Drosophila melanogaster: one gene and its partners. Changing the gene in region 2 together with the main gene of any one other region gives a genetic interaction. Each region holds a gene or a part of one and is shown on either strand. Other genes may lie near its edges.

What was found.
Region 1: of Snr1 (region 2) and sbb, changing one enhances a phenotype caused by changing the other (phenotypic enhancement), as found in Drosophila melanogaster (one study listed by BioGRID).
Region 3: of Snr1 (region 2) and px, changing one enhances a phenotype caused by changing the other (phenotypic enhancement), as found in Drosophila melanogaster (one study listed by BioGRID).
Region 4: of Snr1 (region 2) and CycE, changing one suppresses a phenotype caused by changing the other (phenotypic suppression), as found in Drosophila melanogaster (3 studies listed by BioGRID).

The regions. Positions count from the first base shown.
Region 1 is NT_033778.4:18,352,540-18,361,001, forward strand, and holds the start of sbb (scribbler), read right to left. Parts: upstream 4,758-8,462; 5' UTR 4,599-4,757; exon of another isoform or gene 3,517-4,598; 5' UTR 2,961-3,516; intron 1-2,960.
Region 2 is NT_033777.3:5,466,871-5,474,444, reverse strand, and holds Snr1 (Snf5-related 1), read right to left. Parts: upstream 3,520-7,574; 5' UTR 3,387-3,519; coding exon 3,115-3,386; intron 2,621-3,114; coding exon 1,780-2,620; 3' UTR 1,691-1,779; downstream 1-1,690. Other genes in the region: CG45100 (uncharacterized protein), read left to right, coding at 1-72; HDAC3 (histone deacetylase 3), read left to right, coding at 122-279, 342-430, 500-1,569; mRpL44 (mitochondrial ribosomal protein L44), read left to right, coding at 3,867-3,933, 3,986-4,884; POLDIP2 (polymerase (DNA-directed), delta interacting protein 2), read right to left, coding at 5,006-5,359, 5,415-5,756, 5,816-6,415.
Region 3 is NT_033778.4:22,557,757-22,566,371, forward strand, and holds the start of px (plexus), read right to left. Parts: upstream 4,310-8,615; 5' UTR 4,163-4,309; exon of another isoform or gene 4,143-4,162; intron 3,387-4,142; 5' UTR 2,990-3,386; intron 1-2,989. Other genes in the region: CG11362 (uncharacterized protein), read left to right, coding at 4,638-4,677, 4,738-5,033; dnr1 (defense repressor 1), read right to left, coding at 6,364-6,670, 6,738-7,379, 7,939-8,615.
Region 4 is NT_033779.5:15,739,983-15,748,428, forward strand, and holds the start of CycE (cyclin E), read right to left. Parts: upstream 6,629-8,446; 5' UTR 6,502-6,628; coding exon 6,473-6,501; exon of another isoform or gene 6,275-6,472; intron 5,662-6,274; exon of another isoform or gene 5,410-5,661; intron 918-5,409; exon of another isoform or gene 810-917; coding exon of another isoform or gene 790-809; intron 1-789. UniProt on the Drosophila melanogaster protein: Essential for the control of the cell cycle at the G1/S (start) transition. Targeted by archipelago for degradation by the SFC ubiquitin ligase complex.

The DNA of each region.
Region 1 (8,462 bases), on a different chromosome or scaffold from region 2:
TTTCTGTACTTATCTTATCTCAAAATAAGTTAAGTGCCAATAAATCACAGACTTAAATGGCGGTTTCTTTTTTTCTTTCTAAGCGAATAAAACTGATTTAAAATTAAGTAAATGACAATATGCAGCTCTAGCACTTAGCTCTATTATCAATAAGATAATGCATTTGGGAATTGTGTAATCAAATAACAAGCTTTTAGCTTGTTTTTTTTTTTTTAATTAAATATAATAAATCGAATCAATTCCAATCGAATTCCGTGAAATTAAAAGGTTTCAATTCAATTTGCACAGAGTATTCCCTGTTGGCTATCGCTTGTCAGTGCAAAGAAAACGGAATATAATCCATTTTCACACTGCTGGAACTGAAACTGAACTGAACTGAACTGAGCTGAAATTGAAATTGCAAACTTCGAGCTCGATGCTAATTCGCATGGGCGGACAGATAGGCAGTTAGACAGGCGGAAAGTCAGACAGACGAACGGAAAGACGGTCGGGCGGGGGCGGAAACGAGGCAACGTTTGTCACTGTCGGGGCGTTTTATGAAAATTGAACAAATCAATTAAGTCTAATCGTGCCTTGCCTTTTGGGTGGGGCCCCAGTAAGTCGGTGGCTCTGGCATTTGTTTGGCCCCCCCTGACAAATGGACAAATAAATGTCTGCACACGGGGGCCAATGCCAGATTGGCATAGCTTTGCTGTAACTACCGTTCGCTCGCTAAAAGCCAAAAGAACACAAATCAAATAATATATATGCAGCAAAAGCAGTAAAAACAACAACAACAACAGCACGGGCGCACATGCTACGAATTATGAACACTGTAATTATATTCGTATAATATTTTGTCAGCCAATTGACACATTTGCTGTGGGTGCAAAAGAGCAAGCCTGTTTGTGCGCTAGAAAGAGACGGAGACGGTGGGGCAATTACGCTGGAGCTCTCGGCAAATGCGCAAACCAAAGTCGGTTAACGTGGCTCTTGGCTGCAATTGTTGGCCGCCAACTGCGGCAGTTGCGGTTACCGTGGGGCAAGCCAACAGGCAAAGTGAAGTGTGTTCAAAAAAAAAAACCAACAAAAAGAGCCGTAATTGAATCAATTGAGATACAAATATACGAAAATATCAAATTGTTTAATGGAATTCATTATATATATTAGATACAAATAGTAATTTAAACAAAATTAAGAAAGCTTTGCCACAAACTTTATCTTGACTTCACAGCTTAGCTGGCTTATGACACTTTAAAGTTCTTTTGGCCAAATATCAACTGTATCTGACGGTTTGTTGCCAACTTATACCGGCGCACAGTGTGACAAATTGTTATGTATGTAGCAATATGAGTGTGCTGCCATATTCCCGAGTTCGTTTCCATATCTATGTGCATGCAGTTCTACACACAAGCTCGGCTCGCTCGCTGCTGCGCTGCTGGTGCTAATGACCGTAACTAAGTTGGCGTCACGATTGTGTGCGCCACTGGAAGCCAGATTCCCCCCACCCTTCTCATACCACACCCCTCTATAAAGCCCCCTTGTGCGGTTTACTTTGTACCGGCCATTTGTGTAAAATATTTTAGTGTTATGGCCGGGCCAAGAGAGCGCTGCCTAATAGTCGCTTAATTGTATCTGCGTGTGCGTATCTGTAGCTATGTGTGCATATCGGCAAGTGTATCTATGCATTTATGACTAAACAGTTGTTTAAATAAACACTTTTGGCATGTTTACCCGAAATGCGTCTGCAATGTTTACTTAATTAAATCGAGAAATGAGCAAACAAAACGAAACGAGAAACGCAAACAACAACCCTATCTACAACTATATAAACTTAAATTTAAATAAACTTAAGATAAGGCAACGGAGATTTTGCTTCCGGAATTAGAAGCGAATTTAAATTTGCACAGATAAGCAGTATAATCAAGTAGAAATGCTCGTTAAGGAAATGTATTTTGTATGGGTTTTAATTTATGACCAAATGGATAGGTGGGCAGTGAAAGATTAGCATAGTATTAGTTTATAACCAGTAGGTTTTAAGTAATATTTTTTATAAAACTAAATATTTTCACTTAAGAAACATCATATTTTTAAGAAAGGGAAATAAGTGAAATGTAACTTTTCCATTTGGAAAAAGAGCACCATACACCCGATATTCATTTTCATAATTCGAGTAAATGCAAAACACGCCCAGTGACGCCCCCCTCCCTTCCTTACCCAATCAATGCCCCAACCCCACCTGCACCCCCACCCCCGCTCCACTGTTTTGTTTATCGCTCATCGTTCGGCTGCGCGCTGTTTGCCATTCGGTTCGCTTGACGCGTCGCCGCAGGCTTCATTAGGTGAGCGTGATTCCGATTCGCATTTCCATTTCGACAACGATTCCCATGCCCCCCGCTGCACCCTTTCTCATCGCTCTTCTTGATGACCCGCGAATTCCGCTTGTCTTCCCACATTACGCTTGCAAAACGAAATTCCATTCCATTGGTGCCGAACAAAAACCCAAATTAAATCCACTTCAATAAATCTCAAAAAGGTAACAAACAAAATACAAAAAAAAAAAATAAATAATAAAAAAACCAAGCACACCAACCGGCCTGTCAATTTTCTAATCGCTCGAAATAACAAGAAAAAACTCCATTTAATTACAAATCGGCTTAGATTGAAACGCCTTAATTGGCATTAACTCGATGAAAAAAAAAAAATGTGTACACGAATACTTGTGCGGTAATTAATCAAACTGGAAATCAATTTAGGCTCATGCCCTCTCGTTCCCTCTCTTCTTTGCTCTCCTTCTGACTCAATAGGTATCTGTGCTGTGCGAGCAAGAGAGAAAGTGTGGAGTATCTTAGAGATGTGTAAACTTAAACAATAGAGATTTTATTGCAGCTAAATGTTGGCTCTTTGTTTATTAACTCTATTACAATTGTAAATTAAATTAATTAGATAGTCTAAATTCGATAATAATTACTGTAACTTACCTTTTTATAAATCCAAAATAGTCGCAATTTCTGCTCTGAATATGCGCGTTCCCGATTTATAGACAGCATCCAAAAGATGAAGAGAAGGCTCGGGGGTCGGGTGGCAATGAGCAGTGGGTGGCGATGGGCAGGTGATGATTCCTTTGCTTCCTGGCTTGCTCGCACCCACAGTGAGCGACTATCGTGAGGGGGGTTTGGGGAGAGAGTGAGAGAGCACGCGAGAGGGCGTAATAATCCACAAAAGAAACTCCCAAACTCCCAGCTCCCGGAGCTAACGGAAGGTGAAATGCAAATCCGCAAAATTTTCCTAGCAGCGCAATCTCAGGAATTATTTTCCATTTATGTAAGAGCGAGAAAGAGAGAGAGAGTCAAACTTGGCTTTTCTTTCTGCTTTTCACTGCTTCTGCTGGATTCTATTGCTGCTGCTTCTTTTTTCTGCTTGTTTTTCACTTCTTTGACACTTTTTGCATTTGCTTCTCTTTTCTATTTTTCTTTTTTTTGCGACAAATGTATGAACTTTTTTATGAGGTTAGTTGTTGTTTTTTTCTTTATTTCTCTACAAATACACGAAAAAACGGCACTTTGAGTAAGGCGAGGGAGGGAGACGACGAGAGAGGGAGCGCGTGTCCAAGCTCTGTTGCCTTTGCCTTCTCTCCGCCTGTACATATGTATTTGGCAGAACAGAAGCTGCTCCACCGCACACATACACGTGTACATGCATAGCAAGAGAGGCGGTGAACAGAGCTTGGGGCATAGAAAAAAAATACACGGGGGAGTTGTTGCACGACAGAGATACGGCAAGCGAGGGGAGAAGTGGACACGAAGAGAGACTATACGACCGACGGACTGACGCGACGCGACTTCACCTTGCACACGCGCGGAAATTGGCGAGAGCGACAAAGCGACGACGGGTTCGTCGTTTGTCGGCGTTCTTTTACCGCAATGTTTGTGCGAAACATAAAAAAGCTTTGCACATACACAGCGGCTGGCAGTGCGAGCGAGAAAGAAAGAGACAGAGAGGGAGAGCGCAATACACACACACACACACACAAGCACATGCAGTGGCTGTATAGTAATTTTATTCCGGTACTATTCAACTGATGAAGCTTCTGTTGCTGTTGTTGTTATTGGCAGCAACATATTGCCAGTGCCACACTCTCATTTTGGTTCGTCTCCTTTTCCTTTCTTTTTTTACTACTACTTTTTAGTAGTTTTCTTTTCCTTTTTTTTTGGCGATGATGATTACGCTGCTCTTTTAACACACAGAGATACACATACAAACGCACGCACAAGTCAGGCCCAAGTGGGTAATTTGTTTTATGAGTAGCGGCAAATAGCACTTGTGTATGATTGTCGCTCTCCTCCTTCTTCTCGTTGCTGTTGTTACTCTTCTCTTTTCATTTTTTTTTTCTGTTGTGAATGACAGACAGCTACGAGTAATAATTTTTAATGCGTTTTTGGCATTTCTACGTTGCTTTGGGTTAATTGCTTGAAACGCGACGAAACACTAAATCACGCACACACAGATACGCGGTACGACCAGAGAGCGAGAGGCCAACAACACTTATTATTTTGTTGTCGAGTTGAATTACATTAAATGCACATGAGGAAATCACACTGGGGAACAGCTTTGCTTACTTCTTTTCCACAGATTTTAGTCCTTCTTGCTTGTTGTTTTTGGGATGTTGTTTTTCTTAATTAAAGATAGAACCTGATCCGCTCAGTGTTTTTTATGTTTTTGTTTGGCGACAGCGTTTTATCCGTGCTGTCCGAACGAACCGAAGGAGCAACGCGTACAAAAGCGCATAAATTGAGAGGCGAGAGTTGGCTAGCAACGCGCAGGGTTGTCGGCTATATGGGGAAAAATAACAAATACATTTCGGTAATTATATGGTTCCGAAAGAATTCTTGTTTTTAGTCGAATGCTTCTCTGATATAGTTATCGCGATTTCAAACTCTTAAAAGCAATAAAGTTACAATTTACTAATAAAAAGATTATTTACTTGTTAATATTCTCAGCCACTTGACAACCCTGCGGCATTTTCTACACACACATCCACTGCTTACATCGCACACACTGGCATTCCCATGCACATACACAAACGGTCTCTGAGCGGCATTTCTTTAATGGCGGCTTTTTCGCTCTTGCTCGTGCGCTCTTAGTGCCCTCTCCCGCTCTCTTGCTCTGCCGACGCCATATTGCGCAGTTATGTATGTTCATCCCTTTCCAATTTGTTTACAGTGCCGTCGTGTGGTCTCTCACTTGTCCGCTGTTGTTGTTTGTGTTATTGCGTTTGTTGCTCTTGTTATTGCTATGCCTCTGCAAATTGTTTTTGGTGGGGTCCTGAGGATTGATTACTGATTGGCATGTCGTTCGCCTATAGTCAGTTGCCTTTTGTTGTAGTTGTTCTTCCTTTCCGTTTGCTCCTTCTTATTGTCTTTCACCTTCTCACCACACGCACGCTGGCAGGCACACGCACACACCTCACCACCACCTCCACCATCTCCTCGACCAAAGACCATTTCCTCCTTGTTTTTTTTTTTTTCGTTGGTGGGCTGGCGGTTGGGGGAGTAGCATATAATGACATAATGAGATTTATTAGGCGCAAAATAAAGCCATAATGTTCCATTTGACCTTTGTGTAACTTTGACAGTGGTAATTCTCGCCTTCCTGTGCCACCTTATTATTATTATGATGATGGGCAAGAAATATCCTTGCTGTATATACATACATACATATGTATACATTTACATATATAGGGTGCATTGCAGAACATGAGCATTTTCAATTCGTCGTCAGCATTTTGAAAGTTGCCTTTAGCAGTCGCCGATGCAAAAGGCAAATAAGTTCCACTCAGCCCAAGTTTCAGATCAGGAGCGCTTAGGTTAAGCTGGTACAAGCCTATTTGTTTAAATATTTGTATATTTGAGCACTGTATTACATTTGTCTTTTTTTTTTTTTTTTTTTTTTTTTTTTCGATGATGTTTTTATTATTTGATCAACGCACTGTTACCCATGCGGCAACTTAATTTGATCTGCTTAAATTATTTTATTTTACAATGTGTCTTGGTTACTTAAGACTAACAGATTTTTAATCCTAAAAATGATAGGGAGAATTATAATAGTTGATATAACATAGTAATTATTATTTATTTGATTATTCTAATGAATTTTAAAACTAAGACTTTCTAGGTCAAAACCAGGTTAGGGAGGTCATGAGGGTGGTGTCGCTTGAGTCTTCTTTTGACTCTAGTCCGAGGGTCAGCATTGACCACAGCTGCAGTTCCTAGCTTCCTTGCTAGGCTGTTGGGGTGTACATTAAGCCTTTCCATATATTTTTGGGCGATGTTCTGGAGCTTGTCTCCTAATTTGGGCACCTTGAGGTCGCGTTCGATGTCTCTTGTTCTCATATACCAAGGAGCCCCCGAAATTCTTCTTAAGGTCTTCGCCTGTAAGATCCGGATCTTATTAAGGTGACTCTTCGCAGCAATGCCGTATACCTGCAGGCCGTAGAACAGGCAGGGGGCCAATATGGACTTGTAAATATTGACCTTGCAGCCAAGCGACAGTTTGTTGCGTGGTGCAATGAGCCAAGACATCCGAGCAACCTTGGTCCTGAACGCTTGCTGAATATTTGTGATGTGCCTGCTGAAGGTGAGCTTCCTATCGAGGGTAATACCAAGGTATTTATAAGCCTGATGGTGTCTGATCAGTCTCCCATTCAGACTGACACCCGGACAGCTACCTGTTCGGTTGGCGAACGTCACATTGGCACACTTCTCAGCGTTGATGCGCACATTCCAGTTCTCAGCCCATTGCTGGAATGCATCCAGGTATTCCTGTAGACCAGAAGTGGCAGCCAGGATACTTTTACTTTTCGTGAGCACAGCAGTATCGTCAGCGTAGGTGGCTATGAGCACATCTTCTTCGTCTACCTCTGTGACTGGTGTGTGAGTAGGCATGTCCGAAGCAAAAACTGAGTATAGGGTTGGGCCAAGAACGCTTCCTTGAGGAACTCCAGCTGCAATTGGCTTGATTGATGATTTGTACCCATCAACAGAGACGTGGAATGTGCGTTCTTCCAGGAAACTTTTAACAACCAAATATAGCTGCGGCGGGAACAGCCTCTTCGCTTTGTACAGGAGCCCAGGGTGCCAGACTCTGTCAAATGCCTGTTGAATATCAAGAAAGGCACCTACTGCATACTCCTTGTTTTCCATAGCTTCCAGAGCAAAGTTCACTACTCTATGTAGTTGCTCAGGAGTACCGTGCTGCAACCGGAAGCCAAACTGAAATTTGGGAATCGCTTTGGTAACATCCTTGCATGTGAGCAGCCTGTTTAGGATCAGCCTCTCCATAATTTTACCCAGAGATGGGAGTAAGCTGATGGGCCTGTACGAGTCAACGTCTGTCGGTGTTTTTCCAGTCTTATGGATCATAATTATGCTCGCCGATTTCCAAGCTTTCGGAAAGTAGCCAACATCAAGAACGCTGTTGAATATTAAGGCAAGGAACTGCAATGCTTGATCTGGGAGAAGTCTAATGGTTCTATTATCAAGAAGATCTTCTCCAGGAGCTTTCTTAAGTGGCAGCTTGGCTATTAAATTCTTCACTTCTTCCAGTGTGACAGCACTCGGAGGCAGGCTCATTTGAAAGGGCGATTCCAAGTATTCTTCAACCTGACGACAGAGACTTTCCGGTGCATAGTTATAGGGTGTAAAACGTTGCTCAAGGTTGTTAGCGAACACTTCAGTTTTTTCCAAGCTAGTGCGACACCAGCCACCAGACGGATTTTTGATTGCTGATTTTGGGGTGGGCTGAGCTTTGAACCGTTTCGTGATACGCCACAGTGAGTAATTTGTGCTCGCGTCAGCACCCAAGTTATCCAAGAAGGTATCTATTTGGGCCTGCTTTCTTCGAGCAAGGGCCTTATGCAGGCAGTTGGCCAGTCTACTGTGGATCTGTTGCATGCGGGGATCACCTGTTCTAGCATATTCTTTTCGAACTCTTCGTTTTAGCCTGAGCAGTGCCAATATACTGGGAGGAAGTTGAAGTGGTCTGGAGGCCTCTACTTCATGCCGATTTCTCGGTGCAGCAAGCTGAGCAGCCTCACTTAGTTTGCTCATGAAAAGGCTTGTGGCATTATCAATGTCCACCGCCTCCAGAATTTGCATATTTACCTCACTCAGCTGTTCAAGATGGGTTTTGAATATGTTTATGTCAGCATTATGGGCAAGTAGTCGTACGCGTTGTGGTTTCTTTAACGGCGTAGCGTGCAATACAGCCAGAATAGGAAGATGGTCCGACGAGAGTTCCTGGAGAGTTTGTACATCTAGCCTGCCCATGCCGTACCCACAGGTTATAAAAAAATCAAGGGCTGATGGTGTTAACAAAGGGTTGTAAGAGTAGAAAGTGGGTTCGCCCGTAGCCAGAACTTGGTATTGCCCATGTGCAATGACTTCTTGCAACATTTTACCTCTAGGACAGGATCTTGGGTTCCC
Region 2 (7,574 bases):
GTGGCCGTTCTGCTGATTGTCCTGTATGCGAAGACGTACCTGCTGCCCGGCGAGGATTTGGTCCACAACTAGGGGACTACGGCGTCCCTGCAATAACCGATCCAATTGAGAAGTTGGCGCGATGACGGACCGTAGGGTGTCGTACTTCTACAACGCGGACGTGGGCAACTTCCACTATGGAGCCGGGCATCCCATGAAGCCGCAACGCCTGGCGGTCACTCACAGCCTGGTAATGAACTACGGACTGCACAAGAAAATGAAGATCTACAGGCCGTACAAGTGAGTTGGCGGAGAGGTGTGTCTGTGCCGCGTAAATTATACTAATCCGGAATTCTTTGCAGGGCCAGTGCGCAGGACATGCTCCGCTTCCACAGCGACGAGTACATCGCCTACTTACAGCAGGTGACTCCACAAAACATTCAGTGCAATTGTGAGTTGAAGAGGAAGTCGCCCAATTGGAATAACATTTAGAATAATCTGATAATTTTCTGTTCTTAAGCCGTGGCCTATACGAAGTACCTGGCGCACTTCAGCGTAGGCGAGGACTGTCCCGTGTTCGATGGCCTCTTCGACTTCTGTGCAATGTACACGGGTGCCTCGCTGGAGGGAGCCCAGAAGCTGAACCACAACCACAGCGACATATGCATAAACTGGTCGGGCGGACTGCATCACGCCAAGAAGTTCGAGGCAAGCGGATTCTGCTACGTGAATGACATCGTCATCGGCATTCTGGAGCTGCTTAAGTACCATCCTCGGGTGCTCTACATCGACATCGATGTGCACCACGGCGACGGGGTGCAGGAGGCGTTCTACCTTACGGACCGAGTGATGACGGCTTCGTTCCACAAATACGGAAACTACTTTTTTCCCGGCACGGGAGACATGTACGAGATAGGCGCCGAATCGGGACGATACTACAGCGTTAATGTGCCGCTAAAGGAGGGCATTGATGACCAGAGCTATTTTCAGGTGTTCAAACCCATAATTTCTGCCATTATGGACTTCTACCGGCCCACGGCTATCGTTTTGCAGTGTGGCGCGGATTCACTAGCTGGAGATCGACTAGGTTGCTTCTCCCTGAGCACCAAGGGACATGGTGAGTGTGTCAAATTTGTGAAGGAACTGAACGTACCCACATTGGTGGTCGGAGGCGGTGGCTACACCTTACGGAACGTGGCCCGCTGCTGGACGCACGAGACCTCGCTGCTGGTGGACCAAGACATTGAAAATGACCTACCCGCCACCGAGTATTACGACTTTTTCGCCCCCGACTTTACACTCCATCCAGAGATTAACTCACGCCAAGATAATGCTAACTCAAAGCAGTATCTTGAACTCATCGTTAAGCATGTGTATGAAAACCTTAAGATGTGCCAGCACTCGCCCAGCGTCCAAATGGTGCAGACCCCGCCTGATGTGGACTTGGAGGAGCTGCGCAGCAACCGGGAGGAGGCGAGTGATCCCGACGTGCGAATATCCGTAGCCGATGAGGACAAGCTGGTTGATGCTAAGAACGAGTTCTACGACGGCGATCAGGACCAAGACAAGCCCGATTCGGCAGAAAGTTAGTATTGGATAATGTAGAATAAGGATTCGAGTTTAGCGTAAGCAGTAAAGAGTATCAGCTTATTTTGTAACATCGTTTGGAACTATTTTTTTTGGAAGTAGCGCGTAGAAGACAATAGGTTTTAAAATCGACAGACACACATTTATTTGGGATGCATAATGGTACTTAATAGGAGGATTACATTAGTGACACATTGCTGGATCGGCGGAAGATCACCAACCAGTTGTGGTATTGGCCAGTCGTCGCATTCTGCGCGTGTTGCGGTCCTGGTCGCGGATTTTCTTCTCCATTTCGGCGTCGGTAAGCGTCTCTAGGAATGGCGCCCATGCGTCAGCGTCGCTGGGATTCCGGAAGGGCACATCAATCGTTGATAGAGGGGCCTCGCTGAAGGCGTACGTTCGACAGTGCCACGATAGCTGACCCCTAATGCTGTAGGCAATGGCCGTAACAAACTCTCCTCCCAATCCCAATTCCGCACAGAGTTTAATGGCAAACTCCTCGGGGTTGTTGTTCTTCTCGGACATGTCCCACTCGACCTGGTCGACGAGCGAGGTGTTGCCCACGTGAATGTTCAGCTTAACAATGACCCGCTGGTCGCAGGTCTCCTCGAGGATGGGGGGATCGTTGGGAAAGGCTTCGATCTGCTGTCGGATGGCCTGTGCAATAGCCGGCACAAAGGGCAGGGGATTGAGGTCCAGGTCGTCGCACAGCACCTCGGCAAACTGCTCCGGAGTAATCATGCTCTCGTTCTTGTTCCACGTGAAGGTGTCGCGCAGCTTTTGACCCTCTAGCTCCATGTCCAGTCGAATGGGCACCAGGCACTCCTTCTGCGCCGCATTCTCCAGGCTAGCCGTGGGATCCGTGTCGTCGAAACACATCGGGAATGTGCGAACCTTCTTCGTGTGCACTCGGTTTCGGTTGATTGGCGTGGCCTGTGGCACTGCGTCCAGGTGGCTGGAGTTCGGCATCGTGGGCACATACTGTGGCTGCTTCTTTGACTTGCTCTCCCGCGGCACTGGCGTATCGGAAGTGTTCACGGAGACGGCGCGATACCTGGGACGGAGATTCATGGTTAGTTAAATCAACTGTTAGCAAATTGACTGATTGGCCCTGCAAGCAGGCAAAATTTACCCAACATTCTGACAATAATACAATTCTCCGTGCTCAATTGGAAATCGTTGTCAATCATACAGACTATTGTGGCAGCTTTGCCAAAAATGTCTATGACATTTTTCCATATTTTTTCAAAATAACTGGGCAGTGTGTGGCTATGTGTGTTTGTATACGTCTTCACTTCAGAATGATAAGTGGTTTTTAACTAAGTGGTCATTAACAATGTTACTAAAATGAAGAATCTTCAGCCAAATGTACACATGTCTTATATTTGATAAAAGGATTACTTGATACCATTGGATTAAACATTTAAAAACAAACGTTTAAGTAGGACTAGTAGGAAGTAGATATCAACGAAGTTAATTGGAATTTTTAGGAAAGGCCCTATTTAGTTACTATTCTGGGGACATTACTTAGGTAAGACGCCCACTTACTTTTCATCGTTGCCGGCCATGATATCATCCACCTCTACGGCGCGGAGCAGCGATACAGAGCTGGCTAAGATGTGGGAGCTGAGGCCGGACTCAGCCAGCCGCTTGCGCTCCTCGTTGGACAGGACGATGCGGGTCATTCCCGGGTACTTCTTGTACAGAATGCCGCGGAAGTGGCGCATGTAGTTGCCCACTTCCGAGCCCACGTAGTAGTACTCGCCGCCCTCCTCCAGCTGGAAGGCCACCGGCTTGTCCCCGTATGTCTGCAGTGCCATGTTGGGTATATTTTCTTCTGTGGTCTCTCAATGCCCTGTTTCTGGCAGGGATTCCTTGTTAATATTCCGCGACTTAAATTTTCTTGGCGCATACACAAACACAGACATGTACATGGCGTCTATTGCGGGAGTGTTGGAAAACGAGCGGGTGCCACCAACGCAATTTAGTACTGGCGCCTTTTAGCTACAAAACGCTAAATAAAAAGCTGAAAGTATTTTTCGTTATAATTACTCGATTAAATGATAAAATTATAATTCATAAAGAAACATATTTAGTTATTATTATTTTTTTTTAATTATACATCTCTGAATAAATATAGAAACAACAAGAAACAAATATTATTAAAATGTATAAGTTAAGTTATAAGTTATAAAATTATATTTACGGTTAGACTGCCATCACTGCCACAAAAACCCGTGCAACACTAGTTCCCATGCGCGAAAACATATTCGTTACTTATTTTTAAGATCGCTTTAAAGATGTCATTCTTACGCAGTGCTGTTGGTCTCCTGGCTCGTGTCAAGCTCTTGGAGGGCTCACCGACTGGTGAGTAACCCGGATTCACCTAATGCCAGTCAGTAATCGTGATTTTCGGCAGTGCAAACGAGGCGCCACATCAAGCGATGGGTTTCGCCAACGTTACGTGAGCTCGCCCACCGGCAGAAGAAACTAGGACCACAAAAGCCAGAGCGGCGTTCTGGGTTCGTGGAGTGGAACCAGCGATCGGAGCTCTTCGCGTTCGGCAAGCGTTTGGGCGAATCCTTTGAATTGTCGGAGCTGCAGCGTGCTTTTACAGAGAAATCGTTTGCAGAGCGGGAGGAGGATCGTCGTCGGCAGCTAGGCATTGAGGAGTCTGACCTCCAGATGCCTCACAATAGCGATCTGGTCGAGAAGGGCCAACAAATTGCCCGTGCCTACGTTGAGGCCTTCCTGCAGCACCAGTTACCGAAGGTCCCTAATGAAGGACTCCAGGCGATCGCCAGTTATCTACTTAGCACCGAAACGCTTGCTCACGTCTCGACCCACCTGGGCACAAAGGATCTGATACAGTCTACGGAATACCCGCCCTCGGCCGAAAGTCAGGCCAAATCTTTACACGCAGTTATTGGCGCCCTGGCCAGTTCCAGTGGAATCGAGAGGGCTTTCATTTTTGTACGCGATTTCATCTGCACGCAACTGAATCAAAAGGACCTGTTGGAGGTGTGGACTCCCCAGGAACCAATCCAGCTGCTGGAGAAGATATGCCAGGAGCGAAAGCTGGGCGAAGCGGAGCCCCGCCTGCTTGGAGACTGCGGAAAGAACACTGTGCTAGCCGCCTACCAAGTAGGCATCTACGCCAACCGGCAGCTACTGGGCAAGGGATTCGGTGAAGATGTGAAAACAGCCACAGAGACTGCGGCACTCGACGCTCTGCAGAGCATCTTTGACACCCGCGACAACCGGAGACCCTTTGACTTTGCCATTCAGCTAGAACCAAAGACCGTGCGACTTGGCTGAGAATCAAAACTGGCTCTGCGTCCTTGTTGATTATTGTAATTTGCACTAAACACATGTACGCATGCATTGTCAGAAAAGATTGCGTTTTAAAATCATTTAACTACGGGTGAACAACTGCCTCTTAATCGCTATCGTCGCGCTTTTTATCGTGGGCACTGGGCGTGGCCGGTGTGGGCGTCCCTAGGTCGTCCGGCTTGCTCTCCAGTGAGAAGGGCGGAATCTTGCAATCGAAGGAGTATCCGTCTTCGCGCTCCAGCCGGAAGGTGCCCCACATATGGCCGCTGGGAGCCTGCAGGCTCACATGGCTGCTGTACTGAAAGGCGGGCAGCCGGGGGCTCAGAATGGGCTCCTGGCCCACCACTCCTCTTCCGCGCACCGTCTCCAGGGTTCCAGACAGTGAGAAAATGCGCCAGTGGCGCTCGCGCAGCTGCACGCTCAGCTCGCCGAGGTTCTCCAGTCGGATGCAGTAGCGCCACTGGAAAGGTACTTTATGACGTTAAACTAAAGAAAGGAGTTTCTTATTAACGCACCCAGTAGACCGAACTAGCAGGCGTCTCCCGGCAACCCATGTAGAAGGGAATCACGGTAATGCGCACGTTCTCCGTGGTCTCCTTGTGTACATCGCTCATGTCCAGCCAGGGATGGTTCTTCTCCTGCCACGCCTTCAGAGTGTCCTGGCCCACAAATGGCGGGTCCGCGTCCGGAGCGTGCGTAAGGAACTTATCGAACAGCTCGTGCTGCAGCGGACTCTTCTCGCTGGAGCTGTAAGGCATGATGTCCTCGTGGGCCACGTAGTCCAGCCCGGGGATGGCGTAGAGGCTGCGGTTGGAGTCCTGGTTGCCGAGAAAGGTGACCGCCTCGGTCTGGGCGCGCTGAAAGACACGAAATGCCAACTTAGAAAACGAAGGAAGCAAAACTAGACCCATCTTACAATGTACGGGCAATCGCGGGTGTCTATGAGCACCTGATAAAAGGTTTGCACCTTGCCCTTGACCTCTTTGGGATCCACTTGGGAGGTGGTACCCAGGTTTGTGGTGCCTGTACTTTCAGCCGCGTTCGTCTCAAAGGCGGTCGAGGTGGGGGCATCGGCGCTCTGAGCGGTAGCAGCCGTTGGGGAAGCGGAGGTGTTGGCCTTCACGCGGAGCGAAGCCTCTTTGGTGCGGTTCTGCTGCGTCGGATTGGCGCTCGTAGTCGTGGTGGCGCTAATCTTGCCAGGATTGTGCAGATCCCGGTCGTAGACGCGGGCTGTCCAGGGGAAGAGTATAACGCCGCGGTAGCCGAAGATGCGGTGCAGGAATAGTTGGCCCGTCTCGTACCGGTCGTCGCGGGCATCCACCAGGCGACCCACCTCAGCCAGTCTGTACAAATGACGTGTTATGCAATTTTCAGGAGGATTCAGGACCCCACTCACTTGGTCGGATACACCGCCTGCTTCTTGACGCCACGCCGCAGCAGGATGTCCACCCTGTGGAGCATGGGACATCGCTGGTCCCACTTGAACACTTGCACCAACAAGCTCATCGCGGCGCATCCAAAGTTCGGAAAGCTCGGAGACCCGTGGAGCACCTTTTCGAGTTCGGAGCGGTAGCTGCGCGCGCGGTTTATGCAACAATCTGCAGCTTCTTTCGGCGATCAGTTCTCAGGTTCGGTTCGATCTAGCAGGGCACATGTGCTTCTAAATTTTGTGGCTGTCTCTAAAATCCCAACATTGTTATGAACATTTTGATGTTGTTTTCGGCACTGAAAAAAAACTCTATGCGATTGCGCGAGTCGGCGATAACCACATTCGTTTGTCGATAACATTTCAGGGGCAAATCTGTCAGAATTTGTATTTAAATTTGAAAATAATTAAATCTGTAATCTAAATATAAAACAAGAGATTACAAGACTAGTTTTAGTCCAATCAAGAACAATTATGTACACCTTAGAGAATCGAAGATGACTTTTTCTGCGTTTTAATACGAATCTTGTATACCCCATTACTCTGCAGATAGTGTTACTTGCTTTTTCTATTCAGCGGAATAAATTTACCATATTAAAGGATATATTTATCTATAATTTATCCCTTTTATTCTTTAAAATGTGGTTAGTTGGCAAAAGCTTGGTAAAACTAAAAATGTAAAATTACAGAGGAAAACAATTATATTTAATAATTTCATACATAAAGTTGAATGTTAGAAAGGAACCATCTAAATGAGCCTAAGCAGTTGTTTTTTATAGTTTTAACAGAGAAGAGCATATGGTTTCTTCAACCCGATTTAAACTAACCCATGTTTCGTATCTTGAGTATGCATAAACTGTGAATACAAATTAAAATTTAAACAATGTATTGTCTTATTTTTACTAAGGGTTTTCTTTTCAACTGAGGTTTATTTTGCCCCTAACAGCACACTTTCGAGCAACGGCGCGCTGTTTCACTTAACATATCGCGTTTTTGTGGCGTCTAGAGGCAGCCACACTATTTCCTTCTTTTCGCTTTCGTTTCCGGCGAAGTAAGTAAATTAAATTTCTCTGTATATTTTCCTTTAATAATATTCTGTTTTTGTTTTTAGCGGTGTTAATACATTCATCGAACAACAAGGTGGGTTTCCGCGGACACCATAATGGGAGTCTGTACACCGGAAAAACGGCAAATAATCATGGAATAACCTGCAAACGCCAACCCACGTGCACAAAAATCTACTGGCGAA
Region 3 (8,615 bases), on a different chromosome or scaffold from region 2:
TCGAGTGGCCATAATAAAGTTGCATAATGTAAACAACAAAGGCATGCAAAACGGAAGTTTTTCTACTCGTATTGCAATTATTTTTAATTTATTTATGCGCATTATATTGATTTTTTTTTTACTCGGTTGCAAATGCAGCAGGGCCATGCAATTGTTTTTGTGGGAAAATGCAGTTTGGAGCGCTCATATTTTGTATTTTACCCTCATTTTTCCTGGTGCCAGCTTTTAAGAGTTGTTAGCCGAGTTTTTGTTTGTTTTCCAGTGTGTTGGGCACACAGTTGTGGCTAAAACAATTGTAGTATTTGGCTTACTATGTTAACTTTAGCTGAATAAGTTGAACATTATATATTATATTATCTAAGCACATTATACGTTTTCTTATAGATGTTATGAGAATAAATATTATTATTATAATTATTGGGAAGCCTGTCCTATTGAACTGACCTCAAGTGTGTTTTCCCGAGTTTTCCCAGTGCCTGCACTTGAACATTGTTGCTTTTGTTGCCGCCCACCTGCGCCTGTTTTTCCTCCCCGTGCAGTTGTTTTTAAAAGTTTTTTGTTTTTCCCCCCAGCTGCCTGAAGGAACATTTTTATGGCCCCCATGTCCTTGCTTTTGTTTTTTTTTTTTTTTTTGAGGGCGTGGCAGCAGCCCGAGAACAAGTGAAATAGAAAACGCAGCGAACCAGTTTTTAAAGTTTTCCCCCAAATGCGGAAAATGCCCAGCTTTAACCATTGAACTCCCGCTTATCATCGATGTTCTTGCCAGTATTTTTTTGTATTTTTTTTCGCCTTTTCTATTCCATAGTTATAGTTATAGCTGTGGCGGAAGTTGCATACAATAACAATAACAAAACGAGTGCAGGAACATTGGAAAAGTTTTCGAAGGAGGGTGGGTGGTGGTGGTGTTGGTTGGGGCAAGAAAAAGTTGCGTTGTTCGGAAAAGTTTTTAGCGTAGTTTGAAATTCTTTTCGTTCGCTCTCCTCTCGATTATATGTCGAGTTCTTTTCTGCGAGTTTCTGCTGTAGAGTTGAGAGCTGGCAAAAGTGAGTTAAGGTGCTTAAGTTTTGCCGTCTTTATTGTTCGTCGCTTTTTTTTATCTATCCTAGTATTTCTGTGCCAGTTTTTCAGCCAAGGAAAAGCGAGCGCCGCGGGAAGTAAACTGCATTAAAGGGGCCAAAAATGGGGAACAAAATTAGTAATAAATCCAGCAGTGAAATATGAAATCGCAGCGAGCCAAGAAGCACGCTGTGCATATTGCAACGGATGCACATAATTCACATTTCCGCAACTTTTGGCTGGCCTTTGACGCAATTGGAGTTACCAGGGAAATTGAATTTTTTAAATTTGCATCGGGCAAACAAACAAGATGGAAAGCGGAAACAGCGCTAACAAAAGCAAGAACATAAATCCTGCCCGAGATGCAAAAACAAAAACACGGCAAAATGACAGAGAAAATGGAATTTATTAAATAGCATTCCGCGCAATAAACTCTTGCAGCAAAAAAAAAAAAAAAAACGAGCACAGCAACAAAAATCCACACACACACACACACACACACACACACACACACACGATCGCATAATCAAATAAAACAACTTGGACATGCAATTTTATGGCAGGACGTCGTTTTCCTTTTGGGCACCCTTCTCCTCGATTCCATTTCAGTGGCCCCCAGTTCAACGTAAACAGACGCAAAAACAATGGGGAACGAGTATAAAATGGTATATGTACGAATCGGAATTAAGAATACCCTATCGGATACGCACAGTATCAATCATCTATGGATGTGCGATGAATCGAAATATACAAGGAATAAGGAACATCTTATGGAGATCAAAAAACCGAATGGTTTTAAAATGCTTAAAAGCATGCAACATTTGGAGTTTGAAATCAAATAAGTTCATATATGTTTTATGTTTTTATTTAGAGTATTTCACCATTTTAACGAAGTTATAAGCCCTATTGCTAGGGTATTCAAAAATGGGATTAAGCCGAGAGGAGAATCGCAAAAAGACCGCTCAACATTTTTTCCATTAAGGGCGCCCAAAAAATAAAAAAATAAAAAAAACCGGACAGCTAAGAGGGGCTCAGGGATTTGCGGAGCTGGCCATCAGCGCATTCAGGTTTTTGGGACCTGCTGGACACAAATTAAACCAAGTGAAGCCAAATAAAAAGGTTAAATTAATAACCGTAGTCGCTCTTTAAAGTTCAAGCCAAATGCTATCTGTATGTATGTGTGTGTGTGTGTGTGTGTGTGAGTGCCTGTGCGAAATGCATATTTGAATATTGCATAAATCATCGCTTTTATTTCGATTTTTGTTTTATTCGCCATGCGGTTTGCTTTTGTTTTCTGCAAAAGCGCCTCATTAAATTACCATTTTAATGATTATTTAATTCCATCAGTTGGACAAATATAATAATTGAATATATATTTTATATATTATCTTTGCAGCCCAATAAGTTGTCAATGATAATATCTTAGGATTCTGCAATTACGTTCGATGGCAAACTTCAGCATTTGTATTTAAAATCTCATAAATTATTAAAGACTTTTAAATTTTATCTACATATGATGTAAGGTAGATTCTATTGAGATTTTCCGTATCAAAACCTAATATTTTGAGTAGCATTTTGTAAATGCCGTAAAAAACGTCTTACTTTCGTCATGCCTTCACTTAAAAAGCGTCAATATCAGTATCATTCAGATTTGCTGTACAGCACTTGAAATTCCTCGATTGCTAGGAATTGTGCAATCTTTTATTGCATTTTTTTAGAAATAGTTAGGTCGCGGCGGATATTTGTGATGGAAACCACACGAAACCAAACTGTCTGGTCTGAATTGATTTAAATTAATTGAATTTTAAAGCGAACCGGTAATCGGCAACCGGTTTCAACCGATTCAAGGCGAACCGTCCAATTGAGCAAACGGTATTTGAATGTTTTAACTGATTGATGTCAGTCGATATGGCCTGATTGTTCCGATACTGACCTGTGCTCCGGGTGCTTCGGCCTATTCCAGTTGACTCCGATTAATCCAACTCATGTGCCTGTTTTTGTGGCGGAATTATTGGGCGGAAGAGGGGATTTACGGGAATTAAAGCCGATTTGGGCGGATCGAAGGGACTTAACTTCGGGGCAAACACATTTGGTTTCAGGCACTTGTCTAGACTTTCCTCGGCGTTTCTCGGTGTTTCTTTCGGTTATCACACTCTTTATTCTAAATTTCTTCACTTGCTTTTGAAGCTATTAAGAGCACTAGTGGATTTTCAAATTTTGAATTGAGCATTCACGGTATTCTTCATGGTTTTCTTATAAGTTTCACTTTACCCATGTTAAGCTGGTAAAAATAGGGTTTCGATTTTATGTTTCAGTTGTGGCTGAACAATCTAGAAAGAATTTCAAAATTTTCGGTCACTATTACAGGTTTAAAATAAGAAAATGAATTTCGCGCAAGTTAGATTTTATTTTATTCTTATGTGTTTCAAACTTATAGTTGTGTTTATAAACTTTATCACATCGCTTTTAACAATTTCAAATTTTAATGGGCTAAATTTGATGCTTATCACTCTTAATTTCTGCCAGTGCATTTTGATCGCATTGTAAACATTTTTACAGAAACAAGAACAACAAATTGCGTTTCATTGCCACAGTGGTGGTCTCTGCGCCGTCGTCGGCAGCGACGTCGACGTCGGCTGCGAAAGGCGACACCATTTCACCGGCGACTATTAGCAGCAAGTGCGAGAGAAACGGACGATGGCGATCGCACAATTCCACACAACACACACACACACACATACGCATAGGCTGCAACTGTTGCAGCAGCCAAAACAACAACAAGACGGCTAAAAAGCGAGTGTTTTTTTTCGATTTTTTCGCGCTGCGACCTTGGAACCGTTAGCTTTTCAAGCTGAACTCTTGGACTGTTAAGTTGGCTGCCTTTTTAACACCTTAATAGCGCTTATCCAATTGTTTGCCTTTTGCTTTTGTTGCTTGTTGCTGCCGTCGCTGCTCTGCCGCTGTCGCTGCTGCTGCACTGCCTCTGCCGGCGTCAGCTGCTCGCCTGCGTGTGTGTGCGTGTGTCCGTGTGAGTTTCCGTTTGTTTTGTGTTGGGCCTTTTATTTTGTCGTGTTTTTTGTGCCCACCGTGCAATTGCAATATTTACGGATTATTCGCGGACCGTTGAGCGATATATGTGCGGTTTTTTGCGCGGAGTTGGATCGGCGGAGACGACGGAACAGCGATATATAATTGCAGCAGTTGCAAGAAGAAGAGCCAACCAGCAGTGGCTGCCAGTGTGTGCACACTGCGCAGCAGAATTGCCACCTGGCCGGCGGTGTTGCCACATCGCTGGATTTCGTGCTGCGATTGTCTGGAGTGTAAGAAGAAGAGCAGTGGATCAGCTGTTGCTCACAAGCGGCTCAAATTGAGTTATGTGCTAACGCGTTCGTGGAAGATTTGGGCGCGCAATTCAAAAATGTAACATAACGGGATTTAAAGATTTCAATTTAAATAAACTTTGAATCTATAATAATCTATTGTTCGAATTAAGCGTCGAAGTAAAGTTTTCAAATAGTATACTTTGCGTCACAACTCAACCCAAAATCAGAACATTGTAACAGAAATAATTAGGTCTGAAAATGAACTCAATAGTGATTTTTATTCTGCACTTTTTCTTGGGTAAGCAATTAACATATGTATAAAATAAATTCTACTAATGAATTTTCCCTGCCGGCTTAGGAATCACACTCGGAACAGCTATTCCCAACGAAATAAGTGTGAAAATGGCAGTGCCAAATAATTCTGTTACTATGAAAACCGAAGAGTTCCTGCTGCAAAACGAAAATATTCCCTTTGGTCTTCAGAGTATTCCGCATTACTTAAAACATCTCATTACAAATGTGGACAGGGATATCCCGGGAAAGAGAAAACCGAAGATTACTCAGTACTTCAAGCTGAGTCCAGAAATGGATAATTTGCAGATGATGCGGTTTCTTATCGAGACCTTTGGCAGATTCATTGGACTCATTACATAGGCGTAGTATGTTCTTTTTTGATATATTTTCCAGCTGTGAGAAGAATTCCAACGCGCTCATAAATAAGAAAATGAAAGGAGAAGACGATGAGGTTTTGATGATTTCAAATGAGAGGAACTTGATGAGATTTTTTGGTCAAGAGCATTTATTTCGAATTCAGTTTTGCAACGAGGCCAAAGGAGAAAAGAAATGAAGTATTAAAACTGATAAATGATAGAAGAATTCGTTAAGGAAGAACAAAGAAATATGCCACAGAAAGCTTTCAACTAAAGACGGCAAGAAACGAAGATTTGCTTTCCAAATAATAAACAACAGATAACAAGGTACATTTAAGGTTTTTTCATTGGTTTCTTTTATATGTATATATATATATATATATATTTATATATATATATAGATCTATGTATATATAGTATAACATTGTTAACATTTACTATTGACTATGTAATATCCGCTGCAGAGATACTTTTCGTGTTTCGTGTTCTGTTTCAGTTTCGGTTTATGTTTTTCTGTTTGATTTGCAGGTACTTAGTACTACTTTGCTCCTTGGGTTTGCGATTATTGTACGCTTGTCCTATATATACACACGCTATAACATATAGTTTTTTAATAGGTATCCATGGTTAGATATATGAGAATTTGGGGGGCTTCTTATATAGGTTCCTTTGGGTAGGGTGGAATACTAAAGAGTTTAGGCGTTAATAAATACATCTCGAGTTTTAGTTGGTAAAATTGCTAACATTTAGTAAGTAACTATGTTGTACATTCAAGGGCTACATCGTATAAGGTATCGCTGATCTATAACGATCGTAAATATATCTATGTGTATACAGTATACAGTGTGTATATGAATATGAAACAATCTGCAGTTATAGATTCTAGGCATAGGCTATGCAGTGAAGTCTTAGACGAGTTTAAATAGCACTTTCTCGAAGTTCGTACATCTATAAATAGTAAATATATGTATATATATATATATATTAGGTATATATATATATCGTGTATATGGCTACTCTGTAGATTAGAGTTACAGCTAGAGTTAGAGTTAAAGTTTCAGTTGCTTATGTCGCTAGAATACTTGAGTAAAGATAGAGCTAAGATTGTTTGAAAGACTGACTACGCCGCTTCGAATCGATTTCAAACCCACGTTGCACGTGACATGTTGCACGTTGCACGTGGCATGTTGCACGCTGCCAGTTGCTTGCTTGCCTCGTCGGTTTGTTCCCCTTTTAGGTTGTGGTCATAGAGCACTAGTGAATCATGTTGGTTCTCAGACAATCGGCACGCACACCCATTCCATCAGCCGGAACAGCAGCGAGCACAACCAATTCTAGGCGGCCGTCGTAACCTTCGGCTGTCCGCCAGGTCCGGTTGCTCCTGCTCCTGCTCCTGCTCCCACTGCCATGCCGCCAACTCCCACTCCTGCATCTGCGCCCGCCTCGAGGGATGCGGGTGCCGCCGAGATCTCGTCCAGCTGCTGTTGGAGCAGCTGCTCCTCCACCTGGCCGTCGCCCATGATGCTGCTGCTGCTGGTGGTTGTGGCGCCGCTGCCGGTTTGGCTGGTGCGCAGCTCCGGCGGCAGATAGATTTTGACCACGCTGGTGATCTTCACCCGACAGTTGGGACAGTTGCTGCATCTGCAAGACAGGATTAAGGAAGTTAGTAAGGATTCAATGGGAGCACAAGGCTGCAGAGACAACTCACCGTGCAGCGCACTGGGCGCAGGCGATGACGTGACAGCACGGATTGAACACTGTGTTGATGGCGCGGTCCATGCAGATCTTGCACTGCATGGCCTCCGAGATGCGCGTGTCCACGCAACGCTCAATCGCCGCCTCACGCGCCTCCTTCTCGCGTATGGCCAAATCTATCTTGCCGGCCATGGAGCCGCCGGCACCAGTCGTCAGGGCCATGGCCCATGGGCTGACGCCCGGCTCGCCGACGGCAGAGGCGCCCAATCCTCCAGCGACAGCAGAGCATCCCTCGGCTCCCTCCGCCACCAGATCGCCGCCCCGCTCGTGGAGAGTCCTCCTCGCCTGGTCGTGCACCTCGCGACACGTGTGCTGAATGTCGAAGACATAGCGCTTGCCCAGCTCCGTATTCTCCATGAACATGGAGGCGATGGTGCCCTTGAGATCCCGGGTAAACTGATTGGTCACCACTCCGCGCACCTTGTCGCACACGTAGAAGGCGTGGCGCTCCGTGATGGAGCGGTACAGGCCCGCGGCGATCGGCTGCTTGGGCAGCTTGATCTCCAGCTCCTTGCGATCGTTGTGGTCATCCACGTACTCCAACTTGAAAGTGCGACGCAGCGACTTGGCCGCAGCGATGGCGCCAAAGGGGATGCTAAACGAAAAGAGACACAAATCCATTAGTTTTGAAAAACTTAATTGAAAAGAAGAAAAAAGGAAGTCGATTGGATTTATAAGCTCTATGCATTTACAAGGCACTTTCAAATCAAATGGTAACTGCGCATTTGGTTATTAATCATTAAGGTTTATAGCGCATAAAGTGAGTTCTATTAAAAATGTTACCTTTGACGCTAATTTTGCGCTACATTAACTTGAAGCCAAAATCATTTCGAAAGATATTGCCAAGAAGCGACTATAAAAATGCCATTGAATTATTCAGGTTAATGTATCATCCATCTACTTATAAGAATGTTGTTTTCGTTTTGAGCAACTTTTTTAAGGCCTCTCACCTTGACTTTTGTTTATGAATACGAAATTACTCAATTTGGTTTTAGTAAAAATATGAATTAGGTAAGTTAGAAGTGCGATTAGCTATTAGAAAACTCTATGATTCTATCTTTCTTTAAGCTCATAGTTGTGGTAAAAGTGCCTTGTGAGTTTTCTACTTCCGGTTATAGAAAGTTTGATCGTATCCTTGGTGTCCTGCAACTCACCTCTGTTTCTCGCCCCCCCGGCAGACGGTGATGCCATGGGCGCCCACCGCAATGTCGCAGCGCGTGGCACTCTCGTTGGTGGTCACGCCGCTAAAGAGCTCCTCGCCGTAGCCTTCGAGATCCTGGATGGACTTGAGCAGCCAGTACTTGGCCGTCTTGAGGCTCATCTGCAGCTTGGCCAGCTTGCCGTGCTCCACGGCTATTTGGCGCAGATAGTCCGCCGGTGGCTCACCCTCGCAGCTCGGCTGCATGAAGTACTCCTCGTAGACGCGGAGCGGATTGCTGGCCAGTCGCTCGTCCAGGCCCGTCTGGCTGCTGCTGTTGCTGGGGCTGCTCGAGCTGCTGTTCGAGTGGGTTTGCGAGCAGGCGGATGTGGAGGCGGATGCAGATGCTGAGGCGGATGCAGATGCTGAGGCGGATGCGGATGGCGAGGGCTGGAGACTGCAGCTGGTGGTGCTTGCCGCTGGCAGCGTACAGACCTCGATGTGCTCCATGGACTTCTGCTTGGACAGGCGGCGCTTCTTGAAGCTCAGCACATGCTCCTTCTCCTTGCGCTGCTGCTCCAACCTATGCTGCTGCGCCTGCTGCTGTTGCTGCTGCTGCTGTTGCGCCAACTCCCGCCTCATTCGCATCGGGCAGTCGGCCTTCAGCGACGACTCATTGAATCGCAGACCATC
Region 4 (8,446 bases), on a different chromosome or scaffold from region 2:
AACTGACCTGAACCGTCCCACAACTAAACACTTTTCTAATGACATTTTCGCGCGCAATTATATACTAATCACACGCAGGACCTCGGAAAGGTCCTGTAAAGGTATGCAAGAGTGTTGAGGAATGCGGCACTTGGTTATCAACGCTGCCTCGACTTTAACACCTACAAACAGATGGCTTTTTTTTTTTTGTTTTGAAAATTGACAGTGAAAATGCATTTTAGATTATCGCACTTGAGTCAGAAGGTTGGAACAGTAGGATCCCGAGTGGTTATAGCTCCTGCGGGTCCAACTTTCCCGCGGCGTATTCGGGCATAACCAGTTGGGCTCTGTCGCTTTATAATTACGAAATAGCTATTAGATAAACATCACTTTTGGTTAAGAGAATTAAAGGGAGACGCGCTGCCTACCAGGATAGTGTTGTTAGTGGTTAAAAAGGAAGTCGATCGGATGTCGCCACAGGAAGTCGCCGAGCGTTAGAAACAAATGGTAGCTCAGTCCGTTGGGGAGTCAGTCGCCTCTTGGCTTTCATGTGGGGTGCTAATTAGTTTGGTCAGGGCTGCGGAGGAAGTGGAAGTCACGAAAAGTGTTTGATGGGAAAAGGAAATGTCTAAGATCATAAGAGATGTCAAGAAAAACATGCAGGTTCGCTTGAAACTAAGATTTTTACAAACTCAAATCGAACTTGGGGTTTGCAAGAATAATTTACCTCTTAAAACATCGAAAATTAAATTAAATTATTTAAAAGTAAGCCAGTAGAATTTAAAATGAATAAAGTACTCATAAGCTTACCTCTTGGCATTTAAACCCATAATTGTACGGCCTTGAGAAGCCGTCAAGGTTCTTTATCCTGAATCTTGTTTTTAAGCTGCTCGTCAAAAGCAGAAATGTTTTGCATGAAATGTACAATTTAAAGAGGACTGCAAGTAAATTAAACAAAATATAAACTTAATAAAATATAATAAACAACATTTAAATAATATTGTAAAGCAATCATTAAAAACTAAAAATGGCATATAAACTAATTGGATAAGAGTTTCTAGGATATGGTCATCACATGCGACGCGTTTTCGAGTTTTTACGACTTCACAAAACCTATCAACAGTTAGTAAAACATTATCTGTAGATCCTTGTGGAAAAAACAACATATGATCCTTGAGGGAAACTCACACACAGCATGTGGCCGAAAAGTCTCCTTGCATCGAAAACCCCAAACAAATTTGTTTACGTGAGTTTTTCTCGAAAAACATATATATACACCAACTTTTTGCTTTTAGCAAAACGAAGAAAGAAAGTAAATATTTTTCTTTGGGGTGCAAAGTGTGTCTAAGATATTCAAATTACTTAAATAGAAAGATGGGTGGGAAGACCATTTTGGAGTTGGGTCATCTTAACAGGTAGTCACGGAATGGTCATCTTTTTATCATAATAGAATTTCCACGAGTCTCGATTGATGCCTTCTGCTGCAGTTTCAGCTTCAGCTGCTCCCCTTGAATTTCCTTTACACTTGAAAAACATAACTATACAATTCAAACAACTGAAAGTGCTATTAAATTATAGAAATCAATAGAGTTCTGTTGTTGCAAGTACGATGTATTGTTGATAAATACTTTTTTAACTCCGTAATGCTTGACTTATGAGATAATTTAATTTTTTGAGTGTACCGATGTCAGGTGCATCGCATTCGGCGCATGCGCAACGTCCGCATTTTCTAGTGGTTTACAACGCTTAATTATATCGAGGAGCCGAGTCCTTAGTGCCCCTGTTGCACCTGTTGTGGCTAGAGTTGATCGCTGACCTTCTGTTAGAACTGTAAGTATGGGTTCGATGCGATGCGGGGCAGGTGAGTAGAGTCGATGGGATTGGAGAAGGGGAGTGGAGTGGCAGCTGTTGAAGATCCTACCCCAACTAAAAGGATTCTGGCAATGTCTCTGCTGTTGCTTTTGTAACTTCAATTGACTTCCCCCTCGCTAATTGTATCCTGTCGCGTTTCCTTTTCCCCTAGCCCTACCCCTCCCTCCCCTCCTCGCTTCCTTTCTTCCTTCATTTATTTTCCTTTTTCCGTGTGACATATGGGCCTGGCGTTATATTCGCCACGATTTATGGACCTCCCTTCGGCCTACCATTCAGTTCGACACCTTTTTTTCCTACCCCATATGCGAATGCTTTTTAGCCAACGACTTTCTTTCCCCTACTTTCTTGTTCTTACGCAACGGATTGTCTATTTTCCTCACTTTTTGCCTCGCTTTTCTTTTGCGTTTTCCGGCCTTTTCTCATGCACAATATTTTGCTGTTTCCAACCATCATTTTCACACTAATTGCGGATATGCCTTCTAATTAATTGGGTTCCCTCTGCTTCCCCGAAGTCCTTTTAGAGCATTTTTGCTTTCTTAGTTTTCAACCCCCTAACTATTCTACTTACAACAAAGAAATTTCCTTACACAGAAAAATAAGTCTCTTTGGTCATTTAAGAATATGTTAAAAATCTTAAAACAATTAATAAGATCATCATTTAAATCGTAATCCCAATATAAAGATCTGGGTTTTGTAAATATTCGAGCTCAAAAAACATTATGAAACAATTTGTATCTTTAAGATACAGCAGAAACCTAAAAACGCAATAGAATAGACATTTATCTCTCAGTTGTAATCATGTTACACATCTAACATCATTTATAGTCGGATTAATGTAATCTTTTTTGTAAATCACAAAACGTCCTAAAATTAATATTCGTTAATAAGGATGCGATAATATCCTTTAGTTTTACAAAACAGTTGACAGCGGCTCTTGGCAAACAAATGACTGTATTATCGCTAGAGCAATCCAATTCTTGTCCAAATACCAGTGACTAAGATAGATTCCTACCTAATTGCAGGAACTGCCCACACGCAGGCTGCGGCTGCAACTTCCTCTAATGAAGATTAAGTGAAGAAGGCTGCGAGTTCGGGCGAAATCCGCGGCGACAGGTATACAAATATGAATAATGCCGCGGATCGAGCGGATAAACTCGGGGGTTTCCTTTGCGCACAGCGCCTAATTAAAGGTGTACGATGCATGAGTGAATCTGTTTACCTGGACGGGGTCCTTCAAGGTCATTTAACTGGAAAACCGAGTGTCGAAAATAAAGTCGACCGTATTTTTTTCCCTCATCTTCGGAATATTTGCTTTGTGCGGAAGATTTCCCACAAGGAAATGGGACCAAGTCTCGAGATACAATATGAAATGCAACTTGAGGCAATGCAAAGAAGAATGCGCAAAATGCGCAAAGAAGAGCGCAAAAAAAATTATATACAAATATGTATGTATCTCGAGTATATGCCAGACTATATACATATGTACATATGTAGAGGGAAAACAGGTCTCGAGTTATCCGGCGTCTTCAACTGTCTGGGCCTGCAATTTTTGTGCGTCCTTTTTGGGCTGCATTTTGGGCTCCTCTGCACATGCGGCGAGATACATTCCTGAGATACTCGAGATAAAAATGCACATGCATCTGGGCATTTGTGGCGTTGTCCATGCCAATGCCGCCTCCTCTCCATTGTTGTGGTTTGGCCACCACTCTTGCAATTAGTTGGAACTCGGTGGACCGAAAGTCTGCAGGAGTTGTGTAACAACATAGCTACATAATGCTGATAGGGTAAGAGGGTGAAGTTCATTAGGAAGATATTTTCTCAAATCGAAAGCCTAATCATATTTGCATAATATGAAACTATAAATAATACTACTAAAAGTTTAAACCAATACACGAAGATTGCTTTATAAGCATCATTGAATTGAACCCGATCTTTGATGCTTCCTTTTCATACTCATGAATGCGTTTAAATTCTAATGGTCAATTGGCCCAAGTTTGCTGTGTTGCTTCAGTCGCATATGCCCACCCTACCCAGAACTACAGGGTACTGCAAACGAGAACAGGAAAGTCGATCCTCGCCTGCGCGCATCAGTGTATCTGTGAGTCCGAGTATCTGAGTATCTGTGTGCCGGGTATCTAAAGAGCGCCGCCTGGGCAAAACGGCGTGTGAAAGTAAAGTCGGCCCAGCCGATGGAGGAGAACAAATCAAAGTTCTTGAATGGAGCGGCAGCGGCGGCGATGGCGACGGCGGCGTTCCAGTTCCAAGAATCGATGGCCTTGAAGTAGCCGTTAGGACATCGGGACGCGCTCAATTGACTATTTAGTTTATATTTAGCAGCGTCTAAAAGGATGCCCACAGCGAGTCAGCTAGCTCAAGTGGCCTGCGTCCTGTCTCTTCCCCGCTCCACAAATCGCCAGTCGGACGGACTATCCTTTGTTTGTCTGGGAATAACTGGAAACTGTTTATCATTGTTGTTTCTGCTCCTCATACATACGGCTTCACCTCATTCCGATTCCGAATCGGATTCTTCTGCCGCAGCGACAAAAATGTGTATGGACTATAAAAAAAAAATGCCCACATATACATACATATGTACATATGAACCATTTATTTAAGGAGTTACTATTCACAACTCATCCTTTTGGAGAACATGTAATATTTGTAAAACATTCCGCACTTGTAATTGAGAAATATTGTTGGTATTTTACTAGGAATTCGGGTTAATATGGCCAGTTGATATGTGTGGATTCCTATAACCATTTACGTATGTATGTACATATGATGAGAAAATATTCGAGATCAGTTTGGGTTCCCATCTCGTCTAGAAAATCCTTTGATGACATACCGCTTTCGAAGGTGGCAAGCACTTGGAGGATCATGAGCAGAATTGAAAGGTGTTGACTAGGATTTGAATAGATCATATAAGGAGTGTTTAGGTGGGTCAAACAAAAGAAAATGTTGGGAAAATATACAAAATTCACGACACTGAATCATCAAAAACTTGATGCTCTTACTTTTTTCAAAATCACTTCTAAGAAAAACAATTTATTTCCCCATGGTTTAAACTGGCCAAATCTAAACATAAGCGGCTGATTTTCGGCACGATCATGACATAATCGAAAAATTAAGTATACAAAAATCCACCCCATCAACAATACACCACCCACCCCCCACGCACACCCCCGCCGCGATCGCTCCAAAAGTTTAACGGCGCAAAAAGCGAACACGCAAACTAAAAAACGTCAAAAGAATGCAAAAAATAAAGAAGAAAGCAAAAATTGCGAAGAAAACAACAACAAAATGAATGTGGCAGGTAAATGGAAGCAGAGGAGAAGAGGAAAGAACGAAGATGGCGCGAAGCAAGGTGGAGACGAAGGGGAAGCGAAAGCAAAACGCCGAGAAATATCAATGAACTCCATTCTCCACTTGGCAGTCTATCTCGCTCACTCATTGGTTGGGAGCACGTACATAGAGTAACTACTCACAAAAATAAATATAACCACGATTTTACAATAATTAAAATACTATTATTAATTCTACATATGTAAACATACATACATATGTATGTACGTAGATTGTGGGTAAGGGCTAAATGCCACTACCAATCTTTTTCTTCGTGTACCAAAGATATTTGCGCCACTTTTGACATAATTCATTATTTTGTTCTTCACTCGTTTACTCCATTTTGCTTTGAACCTCTGCTTCGTGTTCGTCAAGTTTTCGAAAGGTCCGTCGACTGATCGGCGATTTTCCGAATTTTTTCGACGTCGCAGTCAAATGCTCTCTTTTTTTCCGTTTTAGAGCGCAGTACTAAAACGTTTTTGTTTGTTGTTGGTGTTGGGAAGGGGAAAATAACTTGACTCGCTGTTCTGATTGGAATAAAACGGAAGAGAGCGAGAGAAAGAGAGCTTACTCTCTCTCTTAGCGAGCGCATTTCTTCCAAGTTTGTGCTTGTGTGTGTGTCATTGGAGGAAGCGTATAAAAATGAAATGAGCATGGGAAAAGAATGGAGAAACGCAAAGTGGCGCGAATTAGGCGTTTGGGCTGGGGCAGTTTTGTTTTACCGCCCAAAATCTATGCGAATGGCGGGAAAAAGTGCAATTCGGGCGGGAGAAAGATTAGAAAGTTGGCCCAAACAGCAGGGTAAACCATAAGCTGCATCTCAAGCCTTCTATAGTAAGAAAAGCTGTAATAGTTCACTGAACTCCCGTTACGCATTAGAAACTCAGTGCACTTTTAGACGTGATTAGAAGCTTTCATTTATTTCATAGGATTTTCCAATTTGTTCCCATTGGATAACGGTTTAATTCTAATAGGACACTTTTCCTTATAGGGGGAACACTAAAACACTGTGTGGGGGAGACAATTTGTAGTTGGACACCCCGTCTCTTGCCAATCAGAAAGCAACGGTTAAATCCTACAGCGTGTCAATTTTCTTATAAGAGGATGTTGTATTTGTAGCAAAAAATGCAAAGACACGACGGCAAACGCAGCATTCTCTCCCGCTCTTTCCTTCACTGTTCCACACACACTTGTCACCGCACACGCGTCATAAATTTTATTCCACTCTGAATAACGTATTGCCTTTTATCCACTAAAACCATTGTGCAATTGGTTTTACCTTCTAGTAAGCGGAAAAATGCTTAACATAATATCCCCGGTGTTTTCACTTGTTTTTCTTAAAGGGAATTGAACAACGTTTTTCGAGAGTTTTTCGTCGTCGTCGTCGCCGGCCACGAAAAAACTTCACGAGCAGCGGAGCGGCGGCAGCAAAGTGATCGCTTTGGAACCGAAAAAAAAATTGGTGGAACTGGGTATCAAAAGCAGCGACGTCGACTGCGGCGAGTGTGCATGAGGAACGCGCCAAAACAGGCGGATCCGAAGCGCCAAAAAATGCAACAAACACAGGGGGCAACTTTGTTGTACTCTAGGGGAGGGACGGAGATGGGGCGAGCATCTCCAGCGCAAAGAACAGAGCGTGAGAAAGCGAGACGGGGCGATGAAGCCGCTGGTGGCAAGCTTGGCATTTTATTGAATGGAGTCTGCAATTGGAGTCCCCAGTCCCCAACAGGCTAGTCAGACTACAATTGGAGGTTCGACGTCCAGTCAGCTGGGTGGTCGAAAAACAGCTGACGAGGATGCCAGAAGGGCGGATTTAGTCGGATATATCGTGGTTATATATAAATACCTAAGATTTATTTCTATGTCATATGCCAATTTTAATTCAAATATGACCTTCAGAAAATAAATATTTAAATTTTAATATGAAACTATTTTTTTTAATATATTTTTAAAGCGCTCCAAAATCAATTCAAGGTTAAAATAAATTTATCTTGAAGGGTATTCATAAATCTTTAAAATTTTAATTATTTATTTATTCTTCAGAAGCCTGAAATTACATGGTTTAATATGCTTTTCTAGTAGTTTTTATGAACTGCAGCCAAATAACATATGACAAGATGACTGAGGTCGAACTAGGTGGTAACGCTGCTTTGAAACCAAACAAACCACTGCCACTTTGTTGTTTTCATCGATTAACATTCGAGCATTTTTGGCACCAACTTCGAGCGCTTATAAATCAGGTAAGCTAAATGAAAAACCATGCGTGCCTATAACCAATTGAAAGATCAAAACTCGCAGAATCTGATTTTTCACTAAAATCGAAAATCCCGTTCAATTCGGCCAAATTAGAATCGATTGAACTTGATGATTTCCCGCGCGCGGGAACCCGACGTCGGCGCGCGCTGCTGACAGCGATGACAGCTGCGCGCGCAAAGAGAAGGCGCGGAAGAGAGCGCGAGAGGGGCAGGGGAACAGAGAGAGAAAGAGGCAAAAACGTCGACGTCGCTGCTCACGTTTTTTTTCCATTACTTTTCGACTGCTACAATATCGATGGAGAAAACGGGGTCTAAAGGAAATGGCTTAAAAAGCAAGTTCACGAACTTTTGAACCCTGCACCTGCTGCAAATCGAATGGGCCAATTGGCCGGCATCACTCACCTGCTGTTGGGCAGGATTCGGGCAAATTCTCAGCGGGATTGCACACTGAAAAACACACGCGGACTGGAATGGTGATGAAAAAAATTGCACACACCGCCGCACACATACACACGCACGCCAGCCAGCAAGACAGTATAGCCTCCTTTTTGTCACCTTTTTCGACAGATTTATCGTGGTTCTGCGGTCTTTTTCACGGCTAGCTCAACCCCACGGCAGTCAAGGCCAATTCGATGCGATCCCCGCGATTTTTCAGCGACTCCAAAGTAACACAATGATCGCAAGTGGCACTGTGACGAGATCGAAATCGAGAGAGCGATGAAAGAGCAAAAAAAAAGGCCATAATCATCTGGCCACACGGCGCAAAGAGAGAGTCGGAGTTTAGTGGCAGCGGCGTTGCCACTACGGCCGATCGCGTTGCGGGATTTTTATTGGCGCGTTATTCAAATTTTGAAAAATAACTTCTATGTTAGCCTGACTTTTACTGCTCTGCATATTTAGTTCACTATTTTTCCGGGCTGATCATATCTGGAAATCGGGTATTTAAAATAATAAAAGATGTGCAACGTGCTTAATGTTAAATGGGGTTTTAGAAAAGA